Linked DNA regions of Saccharomyces cerevisiae S288C. The gene in region 2 interacts genetically with the main gene of each other region. Each region holds a gene or a part of one and is shown on either strand. Other genes may lie near its edges.

The links. A genetic interaction does not mean that the proteins touch.
Region 1: mutations in UBX6 (region 2) and MFG1 together harm fitness more than expected from each alone (negative genetic interaction), as found in Saccharomyces cerevisiae (one large-scale study listed by BioGRID).

Annotation. Positions count from the first base shown.
Region 1 is NC_001136.10:35,064-38,673, forward strand, and holds MFG1 (Mfg1p), read left to right. Parts: upstream 1-1,733; coding exon 1,734-3,110; downstream 3,111-3,610. Other genes in the region: GTPase-activating protein GYP7, read right to left, coding at 1-1,414; olichyl-diphosphooligosaccharide--protein glycotransferase OST4, read left to right, coding at 3,424-3,534. UniProt on the Saccharomyces cerevisiae protein: Transcriptional regulator with a general role in all morphogenetically distinct forms of filamentous growth, namely haploid invasive growth, biofilm formation, and diploid pseudohyphal growth.
Region 2 is NC_001142.9:346,909-350,190, forward strand, and holds UBX6 (Ubx6p), read right to left. Parts: upstream 1,730-3,282; coding exon 539-1,729; downstream 1-538. Other genes in the region: phosphatidic acid-binding protein CHM7, read left to right, coding at 1-417; YJL047C-A (uncharacterized protein), read right to left, coding at 2,136-2,270; cullin RTT101, read right to left, coding at 2,672-3,282.

The DNA of each region.
Region 1 (3,610 bases), on a different chromosome or scaffold from region 2:
CGATGGTATTGTATTGAAATATCTCCAAGTTTCTATCACAGCGTCTCACATCTTTAGATATTCTGAATAATTGATCGTTCCAATATTCCTCTTCATCTTCATCGTCAAATTGTAAAAAATCTTTTGACCAGGTTAGTTTCAATTGATCGTATTCCGCGGCTAAAGTTTGATCGATTTGTACCCTCTCGTCTTGAGAAGAATCCCACGGATATATTTCTAAGAGAAAACCCCAAACTTTCCCTCGCAAACTGTCATTTTCTAACCCACCATGAAATATGAAATCCTTAACTTCGTTTACCGTGACCCTCAGCCTCCCATCGTTCTCATCCCATAGCGAATTCCATTTCGCTTCCGTTAAAGGAAATTGTCTTTGCAGAGCATTATTTATTTCAGTATCACTTAATTCATCAGTTAGATTCAGGTCGTTGAAAATGTTATTCCTATACGAATCAAAGAGTTTGTTCTGCTTTTGATACCTCTCAGCTTCCTGTTTTACTCCTAATGACCAGTTTGCCAAATACACTCTTGCAGAGTCATAATCCTGTTCAATTTGTTTAACCTTCTCATTGTTCAGAAGCTTTTGCAAGTATTCATTGTCGATTTGTGATTTTTGTATGGGTGAGTTGTTAGTCAGCCAACTATCGATAAAATTGGTAGACTTGGTAGTCACGTCTGCTATCTTGCTCATTACGTTCCATTTCCATTCTTGGAATTTCTCGTTTAGTTTCACACCGGCGGTAGCGAGTTCAGTTGTATCTTTCTTCGAATTGTTATAACTTTCCAATAGATCCTTGGAAACGAAATTTCTCAAATCATTCAAAGAGGGATTTACTAACCAAAACTCTGGCTCTAAGTTTGATTTCTTGAGTTCCATCAGTTCGTTGATTTTGTTTCTCAAATCTACGCCACCCCAATACAATTCGTCCGAGTCATCAAATGGGTTCATGGATTTGCGTAGTCTTTTTAACTTGTCCGTAGTTGATGGGCAGAGTTGGTCATGAAAGAACAAGACAGGAGGTTGAAAGCCCGTAAACTGTTCTGTCAAGGGATATATTACCAGAGATCCGACATACCAACCATTTGGACTAGGAGGCCTAAATTGGATGCAGTATATTTGTGAGAGAGAAATTTCGAAAGCTTGACCTAAAGAAGTATTGACCAGGTTACTAAAGTTTATTGAATTTTCAATAACAAATGGTGTAGAAGTTGGACATGTGCCCACTTTAGCTTCATGTTTTAGTAGTTTTGATATCTCTAATGTGGATAAGCCAGATTCTGGGATATATTGGAGAATTGCTTGGTGGGATAGCTTATTCGCTTCCAATGTGAGTAGCAGGAAACCAGCAATATTATCTCTAGCATCGCTTGTTGGGTGTAAGAACACTTTAGATTTGCAGAATAGTATCTTACTCATCAGGGGATGTATGAATGACTCTTGTAGAACTTTGCCAATTTGTGCAACCTATATCTGAGAAACTGAATAGTATATTTGAGCACGATAAATTGATTTATATCTGACCAATTTATGGAAAGTTCTTAACTATTTCTTGCAAATGCGCCTCTCTTTATATAGAGCAGAACTTTGCCCCATATAGTATTGTTTAAGCCTCTCGGATTTCTTTTCTCATCTTGTGGGGCTTCCCGCCTGAACTAAAAATATTAACTATGGAGCAATAAAGACAACACTTGACACTGTTCATGGGGCAGAAGGAAAAGCAAAGATTATCTGCAATATGTACCAAGGCCCACCGCAACCGCCTCCTCAAGCTGTGCCGATGCCTTACATTGTGAATAATAACACACCACCGTACCCAAATGGTAATATTAACTTTCCTCCCACCGCGCAGCAGAATATACCGCCCACGGTTTATCCACAACAAGTGCCATTTCCAGGTCAACCACAGGGGGGTCAATTTCCACAGCCTTCATCAGAACAGCAGGTGTTTAACCAGCTTCCACAAGTGACTCAAACTTTTCACAACTCTGCGCAGAATACGAATGCAACTGGGGGCCCTGGCAGCGGGTCTATGCCAATGTTTACGCCGGTAGCATCCTTTCCCCATCCCATGGCTACAGCAGCAACGGCAGCTGCTCCGTTACCACGGTCTGCATCCCAGGCATCTTTATCTATGTTACGGGTGCCGTATCATGTAAGAAAATACTTATCTAATTTGGCGATGTTGAAATTGTACGAAATAATAAATGAGGTGAATACGGCAATGGGTAAGATTGGCCTGCTTTCATTCTGGACAGAATTAATATCAGATATTTTTACACCTGATGCAGTTATAAGGTATAGTAAAAAGTCTATGACAGATTATAGAGAATTCGAATTTATCATCCCAGTGTTCCCAGTTATTTGCTCTACATTAGGCAGATTTGGCATCGTTAGAATGGAAGTTAAGGTTTTACAATTGAAAACACAAGTTCTAAGTAATTCTACGATTTTTTTCAACTGTCCTCGTGTCACATTTGTCTATTATTATCCTGATGGTTCATATATTACACATTTTTCCCAAATGAAAGGTGCTTTCGATTTGGACTTGAAAATTAATTGGCTGGACGTATCTATGCATAGTTTTGTCCCTGATATTGAATGGAATGCAGTGGAACGGCTTTTGAGTGATGACACAAAGTCTACAGAAATTGAACAAATATTCCGTAAATTGAAACAAGAAGATGTCAAAGAGCAAGGGAATTCTTTTGCAGAAAATAATGCTACGAATGTTCCTCCGAATTTTGAGGCCATCACTCAGCTGAGATCATATTTTGACGTATTCAGAAACGTCTCTGTGTTTGGCACTCAAGAAGGGTTGATGAGAGTCATGCAAATAAGTACCGTTATGTCTACTTTGAAAAACCTTCGAAAGTTTCAAATTGAAAAGAACATTGATAGTCCCGTGACCGCCCTAAGTGCGTACATTGACGCCGACAAGAAGGACAGTGGAAGCGAGCCCTTGCACGCAAAGAGGCGACGCAACAGCGGTATCTCTCCTCGCACCACGACGTTGGGGCCAAACGGCAACTCCAATACAAGCAATGAAGAGCTTCCAACAAGTGATGTGAATGATATTAACAAAGACATGACAAAAAAGAAGATGAAGTTTTAAAGAAGGTAATTACCTAACGTCACCCACTGAAATATTAAGAGAATTGCATGAATCTAGCAGAATGGGAATGTGACATGGTAGCAGCAACCGCAAGGTGTGGCATAGATTATAGTAGTGACAAAACTGTACAATTACTATATAGTGAGATATAATACAATGGTTTATTCAAGATATATTAACCCCCGGGTAATGGACCAAATTTGGAAAAGTCTCGGATTCTCATAAAAGCTTAATAAATAAAGAGTATTTCGAAACAAACACGACAATTACACTTGCAAGTCAGTAGAGAAACCCAGTACAGAGCAAGCAAAAGATGATCTCTGATGAACAGCTGAACTCCTTGGCCATCACCTTCGGTATTGTGATGATGACTTTAATTGTCATTTACCATGCTGTTGACTCCACCATGTCTCCTAAGAACTAAAGTGGTTACATTTGGATAGCGAACTTCAGTTTTTATTATACGTCGCTTTGTGTTTCTGCAAAACAAAACAAAACTA
Region 2 (3,282 bases):
AGTGCTACTAATGCGGTTTTAATTCAAACTTTAAGTGAATCCAACGAAGTAATTAAGTCAATTAATGGATATATTGGTTCTACCGAAAAAGTAGAAGACTTACTAGATGAGATTAAAGAGGGTCATGACCGTACCGAAGAGGTCAATGATTTATTAGCTCATTATAATAAAGGTCAAGACGAAGAAGCAGAAGAAGAAATTGAAAGAGAATTAGAACAATTAGAACTTGATGAAAAGAATAATAATAAGGAAGAAAATAAGAACCAGGATTTGCACGAGCCAAAAGAAAGCAGTAGCGAGGATCTATTAAAGAGATTGAATAATCTGAAGATAAATACAAATGAAGGACCTGTGCAAGATAATGAAAACCACGATAATGAGATAAGAAAAATCATGATGGAAGAACAACCACGTTGACGAACTGAGTGACTAATAAATAAATATATATGTATAAATAAAAAATAAATATGAATATTTTAATAGACGGAAGAAAGAAAATATGTGTGAATAACCAAATAGGAAATAAACAAAAGCACATTTAATTGTTGCCGTTATTATTAGAGTAACCTAATGTACGAACTTTGGTATTAGATGCAGAATTATTGGAAGACAAGTTTAGTTCAGACACGTTTTGTCGCAATTGAGAAGTACCATTAGAAGGATACATCCTTGGGGTAGTATATGCTGAAGGAGTCATTGAATCACCACCACCTCCTCCTCCCCCGTCCGACACCATGTCTAAGCTAGATAATTTTTGTAAAGAGTAGTTGGCGCTGTTTGACACATTTGTGCCCAACCTCTGGTAACCAAGACGGGAGGAGGAAGCATCTACTTCCGGTTCTTTCGCCCAAAAAGATGTCAAACCTGAGTAAACCTTGTGTAGAAGAGAAGATTGTTCCATGTAGTCGAATGTTTTGTTATTGGCTTCCAGCGGTTCTAAGATGAGAGTCGATCTGGGCAACAGATCCAACTCTTGCAAACTTTTGAGTTCGTCATTTCGCGTAAGAGTCACTCTTGGTATATTTCTGTGGAAAAGGTAAGGTGTTCCATCATCGTAGCAATTATAGTCTAACCACATCCTTACTTTGTGTAATTTTGTTTGAGGAGGGAAAGTATTAGAGATTGTGTAACCATTGGGCAGTTTCAATTGTAGAGTACAGTAGTTCTGGGCGAGAAACCCCTTTTGACTCTTGTAACTAACATTATCAGTAACTGTCAACTGCTTCCACTTCTGTGGCTTTCTTTGCGGGTCATTAGTATTTTGAAAAACATACTTCCTCTCCAACTTGTCGTTCTGAATCATTCTTTTGACTCTTTGATATTCTTCATTGCTCTTGGAAAATAACTTCCTCTTTGTTACTTGACCCTTAAAGACTGATTGTAACCCATTGATAAAGGTTTCCCAAGGATCCTGCTCACGAGAAAGGCTATTACCTTGGATAGAACATTCGAGTAGACCGTTCTGTAATATGTTAATGCTTGGCGCCGATGAGGAGGGGAAAATGCTCTTGAAAAGCAAGCACTCTTTAGTACCATTTACTAACCTTACCCACAGTATGTTTTCGCGCTCCTCGTCACTAAGATTTCCTGGTTTGAACCACTGATGAAGCCAAGAATTGTCCCCGGCTGCTGAACTAATGTAAACGACGATAACCTGCTCACTAGTATGAGAGTAATCATGAACAACTCGATCATGAAAGAGGCTGTCTATACCTGACATCTCGTACATTTCTGTTATTCAATACCTGTAATTCACTTCCTTTGAGGGTCAAAAATGTCCCCTGTAAGCAAGTGTATAAGTATATAATTATATATATGTGCATATATATGTCCCTATACAACTACTAACGAATCTTAAAAGTTGACTATTCATGTGGAAAAAGTCCCTCTTCTAGGGTTGACGCGCTAGAGGTAAATCCATTAAGGTTCCTCCTGGCTTCGTTAACTCCGAAAAGAATAGCATGTGCAAGATGAGTTACCGAAAGAAGCAATAAAGAAAGCACGAGTACATGTAGAACAGGGGCACAGATAATACCAGACAGATGAGCCCACTTTTAAGAGTTTCAAAACTTCCACGAATGCACAGGGAGAATAAAGTACGCGCTGGGTCCGTTACGATTCGTGCTGCAAGAGGTTTAAAATCGCTCCACAATGGTCTCGCCCCTCGGCCCTTCTCCAATTACAAGCATATTACTAATACAGTTTTCGTTTCTTTTGTAATGTTCAGATAGGAGCGAAAGACTAATTTCGATGGAAATTTTTATCTTCATTTCGATAGTATGTTCAATCAGTTGAACTATGCATCTTTGGTTATCATCATTAACAAATTGAAACGAAAAGCTATCCTGCCAAGAAGGCCGGATAGAGAGATTGAAAAAGATATATAAAGTGTCCTTGTCACACTCATACAACACCTGTTGTATGTCAGGCATACGGCAAATTGACTACAGTTTGCATTTGCACTAATGTCGTTTGCAGTGTAACTGTTGTATTGAACGTGGACAAGGACAAGAAAGATAGTTTTTATCTCTTGATGTTTTTTTATATGGAGGAGAAAGCGACGAAGTCGAAAAAAACGAAAGGAAATAAAATGCTGTCGGAAAAAAAGTTAGGGCTGGTACGGATTATAAACTATCTCAGTAGTTAGGTAATATATAAGATGGCACCAGTCTTAGTACTTGTAAGTTGCTGTTGATTCGTCCCTAGTTATGAATTTGTCTCGTAACAACTTGGCCAAGGCGTCTTTGAACTCACCAACACTAAAGCCTTTTATCTGCTGCTTTACCGTTTCAAATAAATGGTCGTAGTCTAGCCCATTCCTCTCGCTCTTAACGGATCTAGTTATGCATGCCTTTAGTAATTCTTGGGTCCATTGGGAATTACTTCCTTCGTGGTGTGCAGAACTGGTTCTTTCACCGCCTGTGTTGCTACTTTGGAGAGACGCGGTTCTCGGTAGAACCACACGTAGTTTCCCATTTTTCACTTTTTTCATATCAGGTTTGAAGCTCTCGTTGATACTGTATGTGTTGTCAATATCTCTTGTCAGAATTTTATAATTGCAGAAGGATTTTAAGACTAGCGCTAAGTCTTTGTACGCCAGTTTCGTTTGCTCTGATATAACTTGCAAGGTCAAATGATCGCTTTCGTTGAATAAAGTCAGCACACATGTTTGGAAAAGGGTCAATTCAAATATTAGGTTAGTTCCATCCTGTATGATATAAGGCGACTCCACTTCGCAGTGGTGCAAGTTCCACATCGGATATAGCTCTTTTTTGGAAGCAT